Linked DNA regions of Ovis aries. The protein of the gene in region 3 interacts with the protein of the main gene of each other region in a pairwise test. Links are inferred from orthologs where the notes say so. Each region holds a gene or a part of one and is shown on either strand. Other genes may lie near its edges. The genes, in order: SFR1, RESF1 and EXOC1.

Region 1 (3,749 bases), on a different chromosome or scaffold from region 3:
TTAAAATGGCTATTCCTTAGAATTCAAAACACTGCCCCGCTAAAATTCCCAACTTCCACGTGACTCAGAAATTACTCAACTGTCTTTTCCCAAACTCAGTGCTCCACCCAATTAGTTCACTTTGTTGTTGCACAGCAACGGAACCTCGCTACACAGGAAACGAGGAGGGTTATTTTAGACCGAGGATGCCACTGCCCAGTATTCAGCCAGGGTTTGGACCAACCTAATCTTAGTCATTGTTCTGCTTCCTGTATTGCACCCCAACGACTTTCCTTGGGCTACATTTTCTTTCAGGTTTGACGAAAAGATTCGGAGCCAAGCTAAGAAACCTAAATTTTCAGACAGATTCGCCAAAAGAAGGAAGAGAAAAAAACAAAAACAAAAAACCACCCGTGGCGGGACCGCAGACTTTGAGGCAGCAGTCTAAAAGAAGCTCTACTGGTTCCGCTGGGGTTCTTAGATTTCTAATGTGTCTGACTGTCAACGGGCCATTGACCCATCTTTTTGTAGTCTTTGCCTTTGGAGTTTACAAGCTGTAAATATAACACACAGCAGGCCCGGAGTCTCTGGGTCCCGTGGAATCTGAGAAAAGGCCTTTGCTGTGGGGAGCGCGAAGAGACTGATGGGAGCTAGGAGAACAGGAGGGGCATTCTCAGGCGTCCTTTAGAAACACAAAACCCAGGAAGCTGCAAAGGAAGGCGGTATGAAAAAAGAGCGAGAAGAAGCCGCGAAGAAAAGCGCGCACCTCATGGGAACCGTTAGTTGCTTTAAAGCTCTTCCCAGCAAACGGCCGCGCGCGCAGTGCCGCGACTCTCGGGCGCTGGGCGGAGCAGAGCCGCGCGTATCGGTCAACTCGGCCAATCACGCGTCACGGCCCCTCCGTTTCGTCCTGCCCCCTTGCGGAATCTCGAGGCCGCGCGCGCGCAGTCCCGCCTCTCCGGGCGCTGGGCGGAGAGGACCTGTGTGTCAATCAATCTGGCCAATCGCGCGTCTCTTCCTCCTCCCGCGCGGCCCGGCCTCTGAAACGGCGCCGCGGCTAGCGCGCTCTTTGTGCTGTCTGGGGATGGCTGAGGGAGGTACCGTGCGGGGTGTGGGGTGGGTGTCTGACAGCTGAACTTCTTCGGGGTTCGGATGGGGAATTGAATAATGCTCCCTTTCCGCGGTCAAGGCACCTCTCAGCTCCACCTCAGGTTTTGGGTGTCTCGAGGGCTCGTGTGGGCCTTCTGTAGTGGCTGGAGGGGAGGGAGGGCTCCTCTGGTATTTTACCCTGTAAAGTTGATGGCCTTTGAGAAACTTAAGTCTCTCCTTTTCACGGTCTCTTCGCTATTTAATTGAAAACGATGCAGACAGGAGTAAACTTACCTGTGCTTGTGCTCCTTATTCCTCACCCCCGGGGGGCGTTAGTTTTAGGCACACAGCTTCTAGGATTTAGGGTAGTGTGACAGGTCTGATTATGTTTATTTAAGTGGGATAGTAGTGGGAAGTAGGAGAATGTGATCCATAATCAAGAGGAAGAGTAATCAATAGATAAAGGCATAAGATGAACTCAATTTAAACACCGAAAAGCACTTTAAAGAAGTTATAAATATATTTTTTTAATTTTAAAATATTGTCTTCTGTTGTGGCTCAGCTGGTAAAGAATCCGCCTGCAATACGGCAGACCTGGGTTCGATCCCTGGGTTGGGAAGATGCCCTGGAGAAGGGACCGGCTACCCACTCCAGTATTCTGGCCTGGAGAACGCCATGGACTGTATAGACCATGGGGTCGCAAAGAGTCGGACACGACTGAGCGATTTGCACTTAAAGCACTAAAGGATTTCAATTACATTTTCCTTCATTGTGAAACTGGCTTAATGAGATTAAAGAATTCCTGAATGTTATTCTCCTCCCCGCCTACCCCGCCCCACCACCATATGGCAGGTTTTGAGACTTTTATCAGTCAGTAAAAACAAATGGAGAGTTGTTTATATGAGATGCTAGCTGGGTAACTTGTCATGAAAAAACTAGTAGTCACCATAATGACCAACAATCTAATTTAGGGAAGTAAACAGAAAATTGCACGCAAAAAAGCAAGAATGAATCACAGCTAAGTGAAAGGAAGTTGTTTAAAATTGAATATATAGAGGTGTGGGCAAAGTTGATTTCTGTTTTGTCATTATTTTCTGTTTTTTAGAAGTAAAGCAAGATTTCAAGATGGAAAGTCCATCAAACTCGGCTTTGATGTTACCTAGCACTCCACAAGCTGGTGCCAATCCACCATCTCCCCATTCAAGTAGTTCAAGAAAACAAGTATGAAAATCTTAGTTCTTTCACTGGATGTATATTTCTAAGTATTGCAGTAATGGTGGTTTTAAGTCTACTGAACATTGTCAATAGTGTGTAGGTTAATAAATAAAATTTTTGTTAACATCATTTTAGGTGTTTCCTTTTAGAAAATGTATTGGACCTTCCTCTTAGATTTTCATCCTGACTCAATTATTTTCATTTATTTTCAGTTCAGGTTATTACAGCATTCCAAACAAAAAGTTTGATGTCATGGAGGTCTTTGGTGGAAAGATCTTTTTCCTTAATTTGTAACTAAGCACCTAACCATATCAGGCTTGGACTAATTGCTGAACAAATGTTTGTGATTACTGAGTAGAAGAGTGCTGGCTTAAAAAGAGAATAAAACTTAGTGGAGCTTCCAGAAATTGAAAGGTATTTTGTGATGGTTACTTTAGATATATGGAGACAGAAAGCCATCTAGTGGTGTCTGCCACAGAAATGTAGTCTTGATTCCTAGTAGATTTATTTATATCAAGAATGTTTTTCTTGATTGACATTAACGTTTGATGCCTTTTTCAGCCTATGAGTGCAACCCTTAGAGAACGATTAAGGAAAACCAGATCTTCATTTAATTCCTGTTACAGTGTGGTAAAACGGCTTAAAGTAGAGAGTGAGGAAAATGATCAGACTTTTTCACAGAAATCAGCACCTTCAACAGAAGAAAACTGTTTGGAATTTCACGAAAAATTTAAACACATAGATAGTGAATTTGAAGAAAGTACATATTTGAAAGATACCTTCAAGAATATCAATGTTTGTGAATCTAAATCACTTGATGCTGAGCCATCCAGTGATCTCCAAAATGACTTTATGAATGAGAATCTTGCCAAGCATGAACTAAACAAAGAAAAAGCAGAATTGATGAAGCAGATTCACGAGAAAGAAGATCTTCTTCGGAGGCTGAAGCTAGTCAAAATGTATAGATCAAAGGTGAGAAGAATTTCAGAGCCGTTGCCTAATAATTTTTTTGTTTGTTTGTTTTTAGATAAATGGTAGGAAAATATTTCAAAAAGAAAATACAACTTTATTTTACAATACTTAGAAATAAGCCAATTACCAAGAGACCTGGCTTCCAACAACTTTAACTCAAATATAAGTCATAGATTTAGAGAAGAGGCCTTAAACACCAAGTATACATTTTTGAAAGCCCCAGCCCACATTTAATATGCAGTTGAAGCTTTTCCCTCTAGTTTCCATCCCACAGCAGTATTAGAAGTTTCAAATGTTAGCTGCAAATTGCAATGAGAACAGAAGCAACAGTGACAGTGAAGAGAAAAAGGCTAAAAATGGGCCACAGAGTACAATAAAAAGTATTTTTAGTAATGATTTTGTGTAATTAAATTATTACCAACAAATTATTAAAATGTTTCATGCATTTTCTTTTAAGAAAACAACAAAAATATAATAAATTTTAGATCTCGATC
Region 2 (3,749 bases), on a different chromosome or scaffold from region 3:
GCTGAGCCACAAGGGAAGCCCAAGAATACTGGAGTGGGTAGCCTATCCCTTCTCCAGTGGATCTTCCCGACCAAGGAATTGAACCAGGATCTCCTGCATTGCAAGCAGATTCTTTACCAACTGAGCTATCAGGGAAGAAGGGTCCTGTATATCCAGAACAGGGAACATAATGCTTTTGGACAAATCTGCCCTGGCTGGAAAATTTTGTAGAAGCATTACTGACTTCAAACATGCCTGCAGGTAAAAACTAGAGTTGTGCCTGATACTTCCTTACAAAAATAGAACTTACAGGATCTACAGGGAAGGGTTTAATCAACACAAAGCTGATAAACTGATTTAGAGTTTAAATGAGTGAACCATCTCCTATAAGACAGGCCATAAAATATATTTCCTCTAACATGACAACAGCTAAAATTTATTAAGTACTTACCATTTACCAGGAGCTGTTCCAAGTGTGTTATATCTACAAAACTCATTAACTTACCGTAACAATACCATGAGGTTGATACTATTGTTATCTCTATTTTACAAACGATGAGGAAACCGATACAGAGAAGTTTAATAATTCTCCCAAGGCTGCATAGATGGTAAGTGGAAGAGCCAAGATCTGATGCTCAGCAGTGTGACTGCAGGGACCATGGTCTCAAATCATTACAGCAAGTTTCCTAATACTACTTGGGAGTTTACAGAATGGACACCCCAGAAATGATCACTTTGGCTGTACAGGTCCCTATTTTAGAGATTGGTTCTCTCAGAATTCTGCTCTGTGCTGCCTTATCCCATGTGCCACAAGAAATGAATTTGAATAATAAAATAAGAAACAGACCATGTAGAGAATAATGTTAAGTAGACCTCTTCCTCAGTAATTTAGACCATCATCTATTCCTTTTCTAGTAAAGATGAATAATATGAATTCCTTGCTATGTCAACTGTATTATTTCTCCTCAAACTTTGTCATCAAATCCTTTGTAAGCTGGTGGTGGTCTTAGCCGCTCAGTGCTGTCCAGCTATTTGTGACCCCAGGTACTGTAGCCTGCCAGGCTCTTCTGTCCACAGAATTCTCCAGGCAAGAATACTGGAGTGGGTAGCCATTCCCTTCTCCAGAGGATCTTTCCAAGCCAGGGATCGAACCCAGGTCTCCTGCATTGCAAGTAGATTCTTTACTGTCTGAGCCATTGTAGTTTAATACTGAACCAATACTGGTTCAGCTTAATCATTCTGTTCCATAACAGATAAATTAGAGTAGACTACTCAAAGCTGACTCACTTACCTTTAAATACATTACTCCTTTATTACTGTATGTTACCATTTCCCTCCAAACTTGTCAGTACCACTCCACACAGTGTTTACTTCTTTGGTCCTAGGGACAGCAGTAAACATTTTATAATTGACAATAAATTCAATATAAAATTTGTAATTGTATTTTTATTTATATAAAATTCACATTAAACTTATAATAAAGATACATACTAATTTGCTTACTTGATATGACATTGCCGCTCAAACTGTGTTAAGGCTGGATCAAAAGCAAACTAAGCTTACTGAATTCTTAAGAAGACAAAGTAACAAACAGAACTGGGTCTGCTGTAAATTACCATTTACTTTTTAAGTTATAATTCAACTGCACGCCTCCTGATCCACTCCTTCTATCACTCTGAACACTTTCAACTTAACAATTCTTTATCGAATTAGTAAATGAGAATCCAACTGCACAGGAAAAAATAAAACGCTAACTCTTTCATGTTAACACCGATTAGAACTCATCTGATTTAGAGTTAACGCATCAATCAGAAAAATCCCCGAACAAGCTCCGCGACCCGTCTATTTAAATGCACCCTAGCTCATCCCCTTCACCTACTCTTTTTATTTTGAAGGCAAGCATTAAAATATTACAAATAAATTGTTTTCACTGAACCATTCTCTGAAAACTTGCTGTTCCCAAAGGACATCTGCTTAGGAAATTCGTATCCCTCGAGAACATCTAAAATCGGTACGCATTTGTGCATTTAAAAATGCCTCGAGGGACTAACTACTGCTGAGGAACGGAAAGCAACTCCAGCACAAACGTTGTTTGCGGGCCACTTGGAGACGCAAGCTGAGCAATTTTGTTTTGGGAGGTTCGGCCTAATGGGGGTGGGGAGGAAGGGAATACTGGAAAAATAATTCAAAACAAAGATTTTTTTTTTCAAGCCAGCGACAGGAAATCATTAAAAACATAAGCCACTCTCACATCCATCAGTCTAACCAATCGCCTTGCAGTTTAACAAAATGCGTCCTCGCAGTCGCCACCCGCGACCTCTATGGTGAGGAAAGGCGTTCTGCAGAAAACACCCGGCGAGGCGCCGCCCTCCGATTAGGGGTCGACATCCGCCCCGGTTCCCGGCCCTCCCCGCGCGGTGGGCGGGCACCAAGCCGAGCCCGACGGGCCAGCCCTCACCGCTGGCCCGAGACCCGAGCCCCCGGAGCTGCCGCTGAGTCCCCACCACAGAACAAAAGCACTCGCCGCCGCACACCCAGCCCTCGCCTGCGGGCACTTGGGCTGCCGGTGCCCCACCCCGCCGCGCCGAGAACCCGAGGAAACGTGCGAGTGCCGGCGGGAACCAGGTCCCCACTTACCTACCGGAGCTGAACCCAACCTGGGCGAGCGGGGAAAACGCAGCGCCTCTCGGCCCCGGAGTTTAAGTCAACTCGGGTCCGCCTCCAGGGGCGGGTCGAGGGGGAGGCCCACTCCCGGAAAGCCAACCCCGCCCCGGCGCAACGGCAGTAGCGAGACCTGGTATCCGGTACCGGGGTCCTAGTGCCGCTCGGATGAAGTAGAGTCCGGGGAGCCCGGTCCTCCAGTTTCTCCCAAGCTTGCACAGCCAGCTCATGTATCTGAAGAAGAAAACTTCTCCAACAGTGGCTGTCTTTAACTTACATCAGAATCTTTTGAAGGTTGTTAAAAAGGGACTGAAAAGCACCACCTACAAAATTACCCATTCAGTAAGTCTAACTCCGGGGTGAAAACGTATATTTCTAACAAAGGGGAACATCCTTTAACAGAGAAACTTTCTCGAAGGAAATAGACTCTTTTTGCCTGAAGGTTTCTATAGATCAAAGTTGTGAAAATTAATACAGTAAAGGGAAACCTCACCAAAATAGAGTTGAGAGGCCAGAAGGGGGAGCTGTCATACAGTTCGGTACCACTCTCAGTAAATTACAGAAAGAATTGTCAATTACAGGGCCCAACAGGAAAAGATGTAAGCTGTCCAACAAACTTTTTGACCAACCCATACATTGCGGCTCCTAAAAGAAATAGACTACCCCACAACTCAGCCAATGAGAAACTGTCACCCTCACTTTTCCCCAATGATATTTCCTTCAAAAGAACTGCTCCCAAACTCAATTTTCTCCATAAAGTAACTTTGCTTTGTTTGTTGGACTCTGGCTTTTGCTACAGTTTGCTTGACCCAAATTGCAGTTTAGTTACCAAATGCAAACTGACACTGCCTGCTGCATGACTTGCCAATAAATCGAGGGGCCAGTTGTTGGAACAAAGAATAGTGACTTTATTCAGAAAACCAGCAGACAGAAAAGATGGCAGACCAGTGTCCCGAAGAAACATCTTAAACCTGAATTAGAATTCAGGCTTCTTTTATACTAAAGGGGGAGGGAGTGTGGTTGGCTGTTGCAGGTATGAAGGTGTGACCTTCTTGGTGCAGGTCATACCCCCAAGGTGATGTGATAACCCTCTGCTCCTGCAGCTATCC
Region 3 (3,749 bases):
AGGATATTTTCCATGCAGAGGGTATCATCTACCCAAATCCTAACAACATTCCATAATTTACATGAACTTGATTCAACACAGTCAATCCTAAAGGAAATCAGTCCTGAATGTTCAGTGAAAGGGCTGATGCTAAAGCTAAAACTCCAATACTTTGGCCATCTGATGCAACAAACTGACTCCTTGAAAAAGACCCTGATGCTGGGAAAGGTTGAAGGAAGAAGCAGATGACAGAGGATGAGATGGTTGGACGGCATCACTGACTTGATGGAGATAAGTTTGAGCAAGCTCTGGGAGTTGGTGATGGACATGGAATCCTGGCACGCTGCAGTCCATGGGGGTCACAGAGTCAGACATGACTGAGCAAATAAACTGAACTGATTCAATACAGACCTTAACCCAAATTGATCTCTCCTCTCAACTGCTATATCACTTATTGCATTTGTTAAACATACAACACTTGCTGTCCAACTGGTTCATAAAGTCACAAGTTCCTGGATCTCAAGAACTCTCTTCAAGGGACGGGGGGATGGCTGGGGGAGGAGGTGTTTTAGCAGTTTCATGTTCTTTGTAAGTGCTAAACAAATACCTCTTGAGGAAATCTAAGCTGAATTATAAAAACTGGTTAAATGAATAAATGACTATTAGTGGTCAGCATCTATCACCCAATCCCTCTCTGGTCAAAAGCAAGGACTGACAATATGGTTAAGTGGTAAAAACAAGAGAGGAACTCAGCACAGTTGATAAAGGAGTTAGGCAGAATGAAAAGCACTACACATTCAGCAAACACTGATGCCTACTAAGTGCGAGGCAAAATTCTAGGTACCATGGTGAATATGACAGACATATCCAGGAAGACTTCCCTGGTGGTTCCGATGGTAGAGCGTCTGTCTACAATGCGGGAGACCCGGGTTCAATCCCTGGATTGGGAAGAACCCCTAGAGAAGGAAATGGCAATCCACTCCAGTACTATTGCCTGGAAAATCCCACGGACAGAGGAGCCTGGTAGGCTACAGTCCATGGGGTTGCAAAGAGTCGGACACGACTGAGCGACTTCACTTCACTTCTTCATCCACGAAGACAGGAAGATTCTTGCCTCCAACGGCATCTACTTTATAAAGATGGCGTGAGTAACTCTCCAGTGTTTATAATACTTTTTTGGTAAGTCAGTGAATAAATCATTAGAAGTTCTTTAAAACTATTTTCCAGGTATAAGAACCCATGTCTGACCACGTTCCAGAGACAGTCAGCCACAATACTCTATGTCGGTCCTTGTTTCCTTAAATCCAGCCGGATCACTACAGGATGTGGCAGATAACTTGTAAGCAGTACTGTCGTGAGAGTGAGTGCGTGTGGGTAAGTACCCTGTCTGCTATCCAGACACCTTAGTGCATGGAGCACTGAAGATAACACGCCACAGCATGGCAACAGGGAAATGCACTTATGAGATTTAGAAGAAAATGAAAGAAAGAAAGAAAGTGAAGTCGCTCAGTCGTGTCCGACTCTTTGCGACCCCATGGACTGTAGCCTATCAGGTTCCTCCATCCATGGGATTTTCCAGGCAAGAATACTGGAGTTGCCATTTCCTTCTCCAGGAGATCTTCCTGGCGCAGGGATTGAACCCGGGATCTTCCCGACCCAGGGATTGAACCGGGTCTCCCGTATTGCAGGCACACACTTTACCATCTGAGCTACCAGGGAAGAAGAAAATGAGGATTTGGACAAAGAAAGGGAAGGTACTGCCAGACCCTCCCCTCCTGGTCCAAGCCAAAGAACAAACTGTTCAAGACCATTTTTTACGATGAAATCTGATTTTCATGGGCGGAACCGGAAAAGGACGTCTGGGCTGCCCTCCCAGCCCCCCAGGATAACAAGGGGGTAACGGGATCCTCCCACCGGCCTCTCCGCCTTACCCAGAAGGGCTGGGAAAGAGAAGGGGGCTTTGACGGCGGAGTGAGCAGTACCCAGCCCCCGGCGCTAGACCAGCACCGGGACTGAGGAGCCGCCTCAGACCTTGGCGTCCACCCCTCCGTTCATTTGTCCGCCGCCGCCAGGACCGCCCGGCAGCCGCGGCCGAAGGCTTACCGCAAGGCCGGACCGAGCCCGGCTGTGCCGAGGCGGGTCCTCCAAGACGGAGACCGGACAGGACTGGGGCGGCCACCGTTACTAAGATGAACCCCTCAACTAAGCAGTGAACTGGAAGCAGCCGTCCGGCCACCACTTCCTATATCCGGGCACGTGACACACCTCCCTGCCGGAAGTCGGTTGGGTTGAGAAGGAAGCAGTCGCGGCTTTGGCCTTGGTAAGGGGGTGGGGTCAGGTCTCTCCGGAGGGGCGTGTCTAGGACAGGCAGGAGCGGGCCTTGTCGCTGGAGACTGACTCCGAACCTGGGGGATTTGGTGTGCGTATTCCTTTCTCTAGAAGACTTATTTATTCAGCTATTTTCAACAGTTCACTGAAGAAGAGATCTAATCAAATGTTTTCTTTTTTGCACGCCTAAAGTTCAGTTAAATCTAGATCAGACCAGTTCAGTTCAGTTCAGTCGCTCAGTCGTGTCCCTGTGGACTTTGAGACCCCATGGACTGCAGCTTGCCAGGCTTCCCTGTCCATCACCAACTCCCATGAGCTTGCTCAAACGCATGTCCTTCGAGTCGGTGATGCCATCCAACCATCTCATCCTCTCTCATCCCCTTCTCCTCCTGCCTTCAATCTTTCCCAGTCTCAGGGTCTTTTCCAGTGAGTCAGTTCTTCGTAGCAGGTGCCAAAGTATTGGAGTTTCAGCTTCAACATCAGTCTTTCCACTGAACATTCAGCACTGATTTCCTTTAGGATTGACTGGTGCGATCTCCTTGCAGTCCAAGGGACTCTCAAGAGTCTTCTCCAACACCACAGTTCAAAAGCATCAATTCTTGGGTGCTCAGTTTTATTTATAGCCCAACTCTCACGTCCATACATGACCACTGGAAAAACCATAGCCTTGACTAGACAGACCTTTGTTGGCAAAGTTATATCTCTGCTTTTAAATATGCTGTCTAGGTTGGTCATAACTTTTCTTCCAAGGAGTAAGCATCTTTTAATTTCATGGCTGCAGTCACCATCTGCAGTGATTTTGGAGCCCCCCAAAATAAAGTCAGCCACTGTTTCCACTGTCTCCCCATCTATTTGCCATGAAATGATGGGACCGAATGCCATGATCTTCGTTTTCTGAATGTTGAGCTTTAAGCCAGCTTTTTCATTCTCCTCTTTCACTTTCATCAAGAGGCTCTTTAGTTCCTCTTTGCTTTCTGCCATAAGGGTGGTGTCATCTGCGTATCTGAGGCTATTGATATTTCTCCCGGCACTCTTGATTCCAGCTTGTGCTTCATCCAGCCTGGCATTTCACATGATATACTCTGCATATAAGTTAAATAAGCTGGGTGACAAGATATAGCCTTGACATACTCCTTTCCCAATTTGGAACCAGTCTGTTGTTCTGTGTCCAGTTCTAACTGTTGCTTCTTGACGTGCATACAGATTTCTCAGGTGTCAGGTAACATGGTGTGGTATTCCCATCTCTCGAAGAATTTTCCACAGTTTTTTGTGATCCACACAGTCAAAGGCTTTGGTGTAGTAAATAAAGCAGAAGTAGATGTTTTTCTCAAACTCTCTTGCTTTAAATCTAAATCTAGATACTTGCAGGTTATAGCATGGAGAGTTTAAATGAGTTAAATCAGAATGGGGGAGGGGGCAGGAGGTATCTTGCTGGGGCCAAG

Evidence for each region.
Region 1: the proteins of EXOC1 (region 3) and SFR1 interact in a two-hybrid assay, tested with the Homo sapiens proteins (2 studies listed by BioGRID and IntAct). The link is inferred for Ovis aries from reciprocal best matches to the Homo sapiens genes EXOC1 and SFR1.
Region 2: the proteins of EXOC1 (region 3) and RESF1 interact in a two-hybrid assay, tested with the Homo sapiens proteins (2 studies listed by BioGRID and IntAct). The link is inferred for Ovis aries from reciprocal best matches to the Homo sapiens genes EXOC1 and RESF1.

The regions. Positions count from the first base shown.
Region 1 is NC_056075.1:24,379,091-24,382,839, forward strand, and holds the start of SFR1 (swi5-dependent recombination DNA repair protein 1 homolog), read left to right. Parts: upstream 1-997; 5' UTR 998-1,063; coding exon 1,064-1,076; exon of another isoform or gene 1,077-2,173; coding exon 2,174-2,289; exon of another isoform or gene 2,290-2,844; coding exon 2,845-3,255; exon of another isoform or gene 3,256-3,749. UniProt on the Homo sapiens protein: Component of the SWI5-SFR1 complex, a complex required for double-strand break repair via homologous recombination. Acts as a transcriptional modulator for ESR1.
Region 2 is NC_056056.1:183,477,543-183,481,291, forward strand, and holds the start of RESF1 (retroelement silencing factor 1), read right to left. Parts: upstream 2,656-3,749; 5' UTR 2,621-2,655; exon of another isoform or gene 2,617-2,620; intron 1,361-2,616; 5' UTR 1,271-1,360; intron 1-1,270. UniProt on the Homo sapiens protein: Plays a role in the regulation of imprinted gene expression, regulates repressive epigenetic modifications associated with SETDB1.
Region 3 is NC_056059.1:71,998,208-72,001,956, reverse strand, and holds the start of EXOC1 (exocyst complex component 1), read right to left. Parts: upstream 2,238-3,749; 5' UTR 2,083-2,237; exon of another isoform or gene 1,895-2,082; intron 1-1,894.